Linked DNA regions of Nothobranchius furzeri. The protein of the gene in region 2 purifies or fractionates together with the protein of the main gene of each other region. This does not show direct contact. Links are inferred from orthologs where the notes say so. Each region holds a gene or a part of one and is shown on either strand. Other genes may lie near its edges. The genes, in order: trip6, ptpn21 and NEDD4-like E3 ubiquitin-protein ligase WWP1.

Region 1 (4,105 bases), on a different chromosome or scaffold from region 2:
GATGAATTCCACCTGAGAGACGTTCCGGACACTCTTAATGAAAGGAGTCGTAGAAATTAAAAACATAAAGTTGTTGGTACCTTTAGGAAAAAGGTTTGTGTAGATGGTCAGTGGTCCAGGACATGGGAATCTTAAATGTTTAGTTGGAACTGCTGGATCTTTCTTGTTTTCCTTGAAAACGTGTCAGAATGGTGCCGGTGTTTCACTGATATTGCTGGAGGGCCCATGACCTGAGACAAGCGTTCTAGTACTGGGCAGATCCAGAACACCTAAAGCCGAGCGTGCCCTGTATAACTGTCACCGTCCACATGCAAACGACACAAAACAGCCTAGCACCAAAGATTGTCGAATGAGTGGAAAATCAACCCCAAACAGACCAAAAATGGCAGAGGACACACAGCTTTAAAGGTCTCCAGATTTCATTAAACCCCACAGATTAAAGAGCAAGTCAACCCCTACCAGAGTCTAACTCCACTCCCACTTCATGTTTGAAAATGCAACAAATGCTGTTGCCTGGCAGACCGAGAGGGTGGAGCTGCTAACAAATACACACACACTCAGGCTCACGACAGCATTGTGACATCATAATGTACCAGTTTACATCATAGCATACCTCTTAGCCAATAGCAGTGGCAGATTTAAATTAAAATGCAGTGCAGAGTTTTTACCTGACAACGGCACAACACTGCCAGTTTTAGGCAGAATATTTAAATTTTAACTAAGATGCACTGAAGTGCCAAATTATTGACGACACGTGTCTGCAGCACGATTAGACACTCGTTTATTTAGTTTATCAGCAAAAAAAAGTTTATTTGGGGGTGACTTGCTCTTTAAAGACACCTGGTGACCCAAACCCCCTTCATGCCTCACAGTAGCTACAGCATTCTTTTCTTTGCTCCAATGTTTGTGTCTGCGAACACAAAAATCAACAATAAACTGCACCTTAATTATGGGAATGGGGCCGGCACGTCTGACCTGTTGGCCAATCAATTTTGCCACAGCAGAGGCGACGACCCTTCCCCTGTTGATCAGGTAAGATCAGCTAATTTGAGGATGCTAATAGAGATTACAGAGAGAAGGAGACAAACCTAAAGGACATTTTTTCAGCAGTAAAATGTGTTGGGTTGTGGACAGAAGACTTGTTGTGGACTATTTTACTGGAGGACATTGATTTGACCCGTGTGGGTGTAAAGACTCTGTCCTGTCGATTTAAAAAATCTTGATGAACAACATTTGTTTTCCCCCCCCAATACCAAAAACAGAAGTTATAATTACTAAATTACAAATGTTGAAAATGACTTAATGAAACGTGTTTTCCAGAACAAGAATAAATGGCAGACACAAACTCCAGAGACAGACTGCAGACACCCAAACGAGCCATGTGAAATCTGACACAAGTGCAGTCCCTGTGCAGAAATGAATAACCCACTCACACCGATTGGACGTGGGTGGTGTGACCCTCCTCGTGGTTAAGAGGATTATAATGTCAGATCAGATGTCGATGTAGCTTCATATAAATACATTTCAGACAGGAGATTTGAACCCTTAACATGATGTTTTTTTTACTGGTTTTAACGTTCAAATTAAAGATATGTGATCCATGTAAAACCAGCAGATTCAGGACTTGTTAAACTGGAGTTCACACTGAGGAAAGGGTGATCACCACCTGCGCAGTGGTCCCGATTAAAGCGTTTGTCTGAATCCGGATGAGCACACAGTCAAATCTAAGGCAGACTGGCCCAGGGAAATTAATCTCCATGGTTTCATCCCCCTCAAGGTTTGGAGCCAAATGTTTCCTATGGAGCATGCATAACAAATTCTACTTATTGTTCAAACTGTCTGCATAGAGTAAATCATCAGTACCAAGTCCTGAATTGGATGAAAGACAATAAATATAAAGAACTTCCTACTTTTAAATTCTAAATAAAGCATATCAAATGTTTGTGCAACGCAATAACCCAATAAACACAATAAGTCGTCATTTCCTGTTGCAAATCTCATATTTACATTCATTATTTAATTTTACAATTAGGCAACATAAAACACTTATTTTCGAAATAAAAGATAATGATAGTTAAATGTTTGTTTGTGTGCCAGTTACTACTGATAAAGATATAAAAACATAAATTACATAACTAAAAATAAAAAACACCACTGTGCTTCTGGTCAGTTTTTTCAAAATAAAAATCAGCATTCCTACCTTCACAGTGCTTTTACTGTCGCCTGTCCTTAGGTCTCATCTACACACAAATAACAAAGGGGGGAAAAAAAGGCTGAAACAGAAAAGCAGATAAACTCACATCCGTCTGAGATACTGTCCCGTTTTTAGCTCCGCAGCAGCAACGATATGTCAAACCAGAGAATCTGTCTGGTCTAAATCTGTCTGTGCGTCACGCATGTGCAAATCACCGCACTTAAGTGATCAAACACTCCATAATGAAATAAAACTACCCGTAATTAACTTTAATAGCAGCCTTGTTTACATGTTTGCTAGCATGTCATGAATCCGAGAGGTGCTAATCACGGCGGGGAGCTTATTTCGGCACAACACCGGGCTAACTTTCATCACGACCAAAAAGGAAACGATGCGGCAAACCGCCACCTACCGCCCGAACCGAGCCGCACAAACACGACTTACGAGTCCATTTAAACGTTAACGACTTAGTGAAAGTTGTCCTGAAGACTTGGCTGTCGTTGAAGCGTCGTTAACCTACTTTTGTCACGGATCTGAAGGCCTTTAGCGAAGACACCAATTCCTCGCTGCATTCCCAGCGCGTGACGTAGCTCTGGATGCGCGCGCGCGCCTGTGTACGAGCACGAGAGGTGGTGTTGGGAGGAGGCAAGGGGTTGGAATAAAGGAAAGTTTACCTTTTTTCACAAAAATCTCTCTCTCTCTCTCTCTCTCTCTCTCTCTCTCTCTCTCTCTCTCTCTCTCTCTCTCTCTCTCTCTCTCACACACACACACACACACGCACGCACGCACACACACACACACACACACACGCACGCACGCACGCACGCACGCACGCACACACACACACACACACACACACACACACACACACATCTATCTATCTATCTATCTATCTATCTATCTATCTATCTATCTATCTATCTATCTATGTGTGTGTGTATGTATATATATATATATATATATATATATATATATATATATATATATATATATATATATATAAGTAATAAAATACATCTAAATGTCCCACTATAATTGGAAAAATATGTAAATATTTTAGCCGTATTGAGCAATTATTTTAAAAGTTTAGAAATATATAAATGTACTAAATATCTAGTCTCGTCTTCTTCTGCCTATTCGGATCCGGGCAGCGAGGGCAGCATCCCAACCAGGGAGTTCCAGGCTGACCTCTCCCCAGCCACCTCCACCTGCTCCTCCAGTAGGACCCCAAGGCATTCCTGGGCCAGTTTGGAGATGTACTTTCTCCAACGCGTACTTTCTCCAACATGTCCTGGGTCGACCAGGGGACCTCCTGCCGGCAGGACATGCCTGAAACACCTTCCTGGGCAGGCGTCTAGCAGGCATCCTAACAAGATGCCCAAACCACCTCAACTGACTCCTCTCGATATGGAGGAGCAGCGGCTCTACTCCTAGTCTCTCCTGAATGTCTGATCAAATAAACTAAATATCTCTGCAGTAATTGGCATGATCCTTTGCCTCACACAAACAAGAGACTTCACATGTCAAATATACTGTTTATTACCAACTAAAGCTGTGGCAAATGAGTAAAAACAGTTAGTGTTGTAGAAAAATGAAAGAATTGTAATGCTTTAGCCTTATTTGGCTCATTTTACCTAATGCTTTACATAAAACTCATCTGCAATTACTCCCTGAGGTCTCCGGCTGTGATAACCCCTGTGACTTTTGCCTGATCAGACAAAACCCCACAGAGCTTCTTGTGACGTGTCAGGAGTGTTGGGCCTCTGCGGCTGTAAGGGAATGTATTTAGTCCTCTTTGGTTTTCACACATGCTTCTCTTTGTGCAAATTTAACATTCACACCCAGCAGCAAATGTAACATCTTTTCTGATCGTCCACCACAGAAGGCTAGCATGTTTTGGTCAGATTCCAA
Region 2 (3,652 bases):
TTGTCATAGGGCAGGACGTCCAGGAAGCGGTTCTTCTCGACATTTTCTGGATTTCCAGCTACGTTGCACTCCGATCCCAGACGGCGCTTCGGGATGCTCTCAAACTCCTTGAACAGCTCGCCTCTTTCCAAGTGCTCCTCCAGCAGCCGACACTGGTGAAGAACACACCCGTCATTCCCCCGTTCATAAACAATCCAAAACAGAAATCTGGTTGTTATGGAAAATTTATGTTTATTAATTCTTGATCATTGACTCAGTCAACTGAATGTAAATGTATTGCTCTATGCCACACACACACACACACACACACACACACACACACACACACACACACACACACACACACACACACACACACACACACACACACACACACACACACACACACACACACACACACACACACACACACACACACAATCTCTCTCTCACTCCCCCTCTCTATAAATAAACTTTGTGACCGGATGTTCGGTGCATTTTGCCACAGTTATAACTGTTTGACTTGTCTGCTCATTGTCTCCTTCTCTCTTCACTATAGGAAATGGGTTATTGATGAACATATTGATAAAATCCATGACATTATTTGGTCCTTCGAAAGCGGGGGTCCCATCACCTTGCGGCGCCAAGAGCCGACGCCGGACGACTGTCGACTACCTAATCTCCAGCGCTGAGTTTGCTGGGGGGTCGGTGAGGTCTTGACGTCGTTAGGAGGAATGCGTATCCACGAACTCAAGCCCTGAGTGGAGAGATTTGGTGAGACAAGTTGTTTTTTGTCGCTTTGTCTTGTGGTACCGAGAGAGAATCCAAGGTGACCAGGGGTTAAATTGGTTTTTGGGCGTTTTAGCCGGAAAATATAAACGCTGACAGATTCCTGGAATGCTGTTTTGGTCAGAGAGAAAGATAAACAGATTCCAGAAATGCTCTATTGGCTTGGTTTTTTGGGCGTTTTTGCCAAAATATAAACGCTACCCTGGTGTGATAAAGTTATAAATGATAAATAAATGGACCGGTGTGATAACTAAGAGGTTCAATTGGTTTTTGGGCGTTTTGGCTGGAAGTATAAATGCTACCCTGCTATGGGAGAATTTGGCTTGGGTCTTTGGGTGTTTTGCCTTGTATAAGAAGCGCTACTCTAGTTATCTGTATTGTTGTTTGTTTGTCTTAGATGTTGCCTGCTTTAATTGTTGTTTGGATAAATGAGAGTGTATGGATTGCTTTGTACGTGTGGTATCTATGTATGGGGGAATAAGAACTCACGAAATACCTTCTGAGTAAATATTGCACATTGATGGAAATGTAGATCCTGGAAATGTGGAAATGGTTTGAAAATTATCAGCGAATTGATGGAAAACGTGTTTTTGATAACCGCTGACGTGTCACAAATGTATTATGCTTACAAGAAAGCACAGAGCGGTGGAGAGAAAAAAAGTGTTGAAAATGTGAAACAGAGAGGAGGCAAGGCCTGCCTAAAAAACCAAAACAACCGCAGCTGTGCCATGAGTCTAAGCCACCAAGGTCAATTGCGGCCTGAAGGTTATAACTAGAAAATAAAGATGAAAAATATAATTTGAACAGGTTCTCAAAATTGTAATTTACTTATTTGTTTTTGCTATTAAGCACAGCTGTTGAGTACTTTATTGCATTTGAGACCCTCTATGTCACATATGTCAGAGTCAAGGCCCGCGGGCCATATGCGGCCCGCGGAGCATTTTTATGTGGCCCGCGAGATAAATATCAAAAATATATTAAAACTGGCCTGCTGGCCGATTTTACCGCAAAGACTACAACTCCCATGATGCTTTGCGGCGCCAGCGTGGAGCAGACGCGCACCCTCCTTTGTGTTTTTTCAGCGCCGAGGCAGTCAGAGGTAGTTGGGTGTCTGCAGCTCGGCTGTCTCAGACAAACTACACTCCTCTCACTCAGCGCCGAGTTCACTCAGCTGTTTTCTGACGTTGAAGCCCAGAAACGGAGATTCTAGCTGCTCAGTAATGTGTTCACGACTGAAAGAGAAAGTTTTCAAACTAACGTCCAGACAGAGCTGATATAACTCCAGCGAGCAGCGACACGCTCAAACCAGCACGACTCTGTGGCTGCTGTCGTGTTTCCTCCCCGACACACAACAACGTGGTCAAGCTGCTCAGACATGTTCATCAGCACAAACCTATGTGAGCACCTGTTGTCATCTAATGTTGTCATTATGATGAAGATGAACAAAACAACAGGAGTCTCCTCCTCAGCTCAGATCAGCCCCATGATGCAGGTATCTGGCTGGAACAGGTGAGCATCACAGTAAACCAGTGGAGCAAACTGAGCTTTAAATATGTTGGTTTTATGTTCTTTTTCTGCTCCAAAACATGAAAGTTAACAGGTGAGATGTTGCATTTTCATTTAAGATAAAATGATATTTTTATTTTGTTGTTGGCACGTAAGAAAAGATTTAACCTACAGTAAAAAGGAAGTGGAAAGGCTGCAGATAGATGAATAGAATAGAAAATCCCTTTATTGTTCCTCAGTGGGGAAAGGTAGACGTCACAGCAGCGATGACACTTATTACAGGAGAAAAAAAGGAGAATAAAAATAAGAAAAATGAATAAACAAGAAAACATAAATCCTGAAAAGATTTTAAAAATGCTGATTATCCCACAAGTATTGAATACCACTGATGTGTTTTATTTGTAACTGACTTGCTCGTGTGTAATTTGGTTATTCCACATTCAGTGTTAATGCAGAAATACGTTTGTTTCCAAATTTAAAGGTTCAAAATTGCATACATGGTGATAAAGAAAACGTGCAAATTTGCCGTCACTTTTTCAAAAAATATTAAGTTTGGCCCTCGACACCGTCCCAGAGTTTCATTTCGGCCCATTGTGAGTTTGAGTTTGACACCCCTGCTCTATGTGGACTTCAGCAAGTCCAGCCAACATATTTCATGTTCAGAATACACGCTGTCCACTGAGGTGAACATGTAATAAATTATTAGCAAATTATTAAATGTTACAAACAATATTTGTTTAAATTTGTTTCATTCACACCCAAAGATGAATGAGAATAATTGTTAAATAATCATGGTTGAAGATTTCCTAATTTGTGCATCAAAAGGTTAGACACGACCCAAATATTTAATTTCTGGTATCTGGCGATTAATATAATTTGAACTATAAACTGTGTCACTTTAGTGGATGAAAGTGAAGGGTTTTAGTGAAACCCCCCGGTTCGAGAAATTGAGTGTTTATCAGTACATGGTAGTAGAAAGGGAGCCAAAATAATAGCCAAGTATGGAGGTTATTAGTTGCTACCCTTGGGCTGGGAAATTGACTGTGTGATTTAACAGTAATTCCAGACCAACAAAACTGTGACATTATTTGACTATGACTATTGTCAAATTGCATTTTATCTCCTTATTTTGTTGTTTCTTTTCTTTTTTTTTTTTTTTTATCCTTGTCTCTGACATTTTGAAATAGGACAAGGGAGTTCTCAGCGAATGACAATCAAGCCCGGGCAACAGCAGATTTGGTGTGCAGCACCTGTTGAATTCAAAAACTGCATTTTTGAACACTGAATATCAGTTGTCATGAACTGAATCTCCTGGTGTCTGTCAAATGTAGAAGCTTGTTCAGATCTCCGATTAGCGGACATTGTGATCAAAACAAGA
Region 3 (3,652 bases), on a different chromosome or scaffold from region 2:
AATCCTAAACTTCCAGTGTTATTTGAGACGTTTGTTTTATTCTTGCCGATAACACCAGCAGGAGGCTGTGGGCTGGACTAGGATCAAATGACCCAGCTGATGGATCTCCTTCACTAACCAGCCAACTACAACCGCTTGGCTGTGGGACTTTTATCTCCTCATGTGCATGGCGTCTCTAGAGCAGCAGATGGGAAACAAGATCTCCTGCAACTTAAAATGAACCAAAGCAGCCTCCCAGTTTTTCTTTAAATTGAATTTAACATCAGTTTATCATCATGAAACAAAAAAATAAAGATATAAGAATAAAAGAGACAGAAGGTTGTGCTGCAGCCGCCGTCACTCACCCCACCTCCTCCCCAAGACCGGATCACAACACTCAGTCTGAGTTTTAAGCATTTCGGGGAGAAATAACGTGTTTGGAGGTGTGTCCTCCGATCTTCTCCCTTGTGTGAGCAGACAGGGTGCCACTCTCTCTCTCTCTCATTTGCTGTTTGAGCGAGTGGAGCGGAACAACCCACTCAATTAACATAATTCACTGGCCCAAGTCCGACTGAACCGGTTGGGCTGACTCGGTTCCGGTCCAGTCTCAGGTTAGAACTCCAGCGCTCAGCCCTGCAGTACCACATAACGGCGGACCAATATTTCCTACTCGGTAAATGTGGAAGGACACGTCCCACTCCGACAGAATTGGATGCTACGCTGGTACCGCCGTTAAGAAAACAAAACTACATTCCACTACAGGGAGTGCAGAATTATTAGGCAAGTTGTATTTCTGAGGAATAATTTTATTATTGAACAACAACCATGTTCTCAATGAACCCAAACAACTCATTAATATCAAGCTGAATGTTTTTGGAAGTAGTTTTTAGTTTGTTTTTAGTTTTAGCTATTTTAGGGGGATATCCATGTGCAGGTGACTATTACTGTGCATAATTATTAGGCAACTTAACAAAAAACAAATATATACCCATTTCAATTATTTATTTTTACCAGTGAAACAAATATAACATCTCCACATTCCCAAATATACATTTCTGACATTCAAAAACAATACAAAAACAAATCAGCGACCAATATTGCCACCTTTCTTTGCAAGGACACTCAAAAGGCTGCCATCCATGGATTCTGTCAGTGTTTTGATCTGTTCACCATCAACATTACGTGCAGCAGCAACCACAGCCTCCCAGACACTGTTCAGAGAGGTGTACTGTTTTCCCTTCTTGTAAATCTCACATTTGATGATGGACCACAGGTTCTCAATGGGGTTCAGATCAGGTGAACAAGGAGGCCATGTCATTAGTTTTTCTTCTTTTATACCCTTTCTTGCCAGCCACGCTGTGGAGTACTTGGACGCGTGTGATGGAGCGTTGCCCTGCATGAAAATCATGTTTTTCTTGAAGGATGCAGACTTCTTCCTGTACCACTGCTTGAAGAAGGTGCCTTCCAGAAACTGGCAGTAGGACTGGGAGTTGAGCTTGACTCCATCCTCAACCCGAAAGGCCCAACAAGCACATCTTTGATGATACCAGCCCAAACCAGTACTCCACCTCCACCTTGCTGGCATCAGAGTCGGACTGGAGCTCTCTGCCCTTTACCAATCCAGCCACGGGCCCATCCATCTGGCCCATCAAGACTCACTCTCATTTCATCAGTCCATAAAACCTTAGAAAATCAGTCTTGAGATATTTCTTGGCCCAGTCTTGACGTTTCAGCTTGTGTGTCTTATTCAGTGGTGGTCGTCGTTCAGCCGTTCTTACCTTGGCCATGTCTCTGAGTATTGCACACCTTGTGCTTTTGGGCACTCCAGTGATGTTGCAGCTCTGAAATATGGCCAAACTGGTGGCAAGTGGCATCTTGGCAGCTGCACGCTTGACTTTTCTCAGTTCATGGGCAGTTATTTTGCACCTTGGTTTGTCCACACGCTTCTTGCGACCCTGTTGACTATTTTGAATGAAACGCTTGATTGTTCGATGATCACGCTTCAGAAGCTTTGCAATTTTAAGACTGCTGCATCCCTCTGCAAGATATCTCACTATTTTTGACCTTTCTGAGCATGTCAAGTCCTTCTTTTGACCCATTTTGCCAAAGGAAAGGAAGTTGCCTAATAATTATGCACACCTGTTATAGGGTGTTGATGTCATTAGACCACACCCCTTCTCATTACAGAGATGCACATCACCTAATATGCTTAATTGGTAGTAGGCTTTCGAGCCTATACAGCTTGGAGTAAGACAACATGCATGAAGAGGATGATGTGGACAAAATACTCTTTTGCCTAATAATTCTGCACTCCCTGTATTGTTGGCGTTTTCACAGAACAACCAGTCTGCTCAGCAGCAGAAGTGGAATGCAGCCATGGCTGCGGGGTAAATACGTGTGAACACAAAGGTTTGGTTTGTCTCCTGGCTTTACCTGTTGGCGGCCCTTGAAGAGGAAGAGGATGAATCCCCGTTTTCGTGAAGAGCCTCACCGTTCTGCTGGACTTCTGGAACACATTTAAGAAGATGATGTCAGAAAGATTACACAACATAGAACATTTATAGCTCCTCATTAAGAAACACACATCTCCCTGAGTTTATGTAACTGCATGCATTTGTGTTGTTTCACCGTGTTTTACAGCTTTTTCCTGTTTTTAATTGAATAAAATGCAGCTGCAGGCTGAACCTGACACCACGCCATCAGCCACTTAGATGGAAAAATCTTCAACTCACTGGTGCCATTTGCTGTGTTGCCATTAGTAAGTGGTTCCAGTCCAGGCTGGTCAGTGACAGTCAGACCATCGAGGTACACGGTCAGATCCCCCACAGGCACAAGAACCCCTTTCTGCTCCACATTCAGATTCAGCATCTCTTTCACATTCTCCACTAGGATGAAAAACCAGACTGAGTCAAAGGAGAGGAGTGAGAGGAGGATTACGATTCTCTTACCATAATAATAATAACCTGAACATTTATAATAGATGTAAACTTTGTGACCCTTTTCAACACATCAAAAGCTCTCTGACTCAAGTCCCACCCACTGAGCAGCAAAACCTCCCCAGACCGAGGTCCAAGACGAGTTTGTCCATCCATCCATTTTAGGCCGCTTATCCGGGGTCGGGTCACATGGGCAGCAGTCTAAGCCGAGACACCCAGACTTCCCTCTCCCCAGCCACTTGGGCCAGCTCCTCCGGGGAATCCTAAGGCGTTACCTGGCCAGTCGAGAGATCCTCCAGTGTGTCCTGGGTCTACCTTTAGTTCTCCCGGTTGGACGTGTTTGTAAAACTTCACCAGGGAGGCGTCCAGGAGGCATCCTAATCAGACACCCGAGCCACCTCAACTGGATCCTCTTGATGTGGAGGAGCAGTGGATCTACACCAAGCCCCTCCCAGATGACCGAGCTTTTCACCCTATCTCTAAGGGAGAGCCGAGCCACCCTGCGGAGAAAACTCATTGCAGACCCTTGTATCCGTAATCTCGTTCGTTCAGTCCTTTGTGACCATAGGTGAGGGCGGGAACGTATCCACTGGTAAATCCAGAGCTTCGTCTTCCGGCTCAGCTCTTTCTTCACCATGACAGACCGGTACAACGCCCGCATCATCAATCCGCCTGTCGATCTCCCGCTCCAGCTTTCCCTCACTCGTGAACAAAATCCCGAGATACTTAAACTCCTC

Evidence for each region.
Region 1: the proteins of ptpn21 (region 2) and trip6 purify together in Homo sapiens (affinity purification with mass spectrometry; 3 studies listed by BioGRID and IntAct, with this or other methods). This does not show direct contact. The link is inferred for Nothobranchius furzeri from reciprocal best matches to the Homo sapiens genes PTPN21 and TRIP6.
Region 3: the proteins of ptpn21 (region 2) and NEDD4-like E3 ubiquitin-protein ligase WWP1 purify together in Homo sapiens (affinity purification with mass spectrometry; 3 studies listed by BioGRID). This does not show direct contact. The link is inferred for Nothobranchius furzeri from reciprocal best matches to the Homo sapiens genes PTPN21 and WWP1.

What each region holds. Positions count from the first base shown.
Region 1 is NC_091742.1:54,147,284-54,151,388, forward strand, and holds the start of trip6 (thyroid receptor-interacting protein 6), read right to left. Parts: upstream 2,836-4,105; 5' UTR 2,715-2,835; intron 2,713-2,714; exon of another isoform or gene 2,607-2,712; intron 2,241-2,606; 5' UTR 2,201-2,240; intron 1-2,200. UniProt on the Homo sapiens protein: Relays signals from the cell surface to the nucleus to weaken adherens junction and promote actin cytoskeleton reorganization and cell invasiveness. Involved in lysophosphatidic acid-induced cell adhesion and migration.
Region 2 is NC_091758.1:26,610,492-26,614,143, forward strand, and holds part of ptpn21 (tyrosine-protein phosphatase non-receptor type 21), read right to left. Parts: intron 153-3,652; coding exon 1-152.
Region 3 is NC_091747.1:36,679,598-36,683,249, forward strand, and holds part of NEDD4-like E3 ubiquitin-protein ligase WWP1, read right to left. Parts: intron 2,865-3,652; coding exon 2,712-2,864; intron 2,486-2,711; coding exon 2,413-2,485; intron 1-2,412. UniProt on the Homo sapiens protein: E3 ubiquitin-protein ligase which accepts ubiquitin from an E2 ubiquitin-conjugating enzyme in the form of a thioester and then directly transfers the ubiquitin to targeted substrates.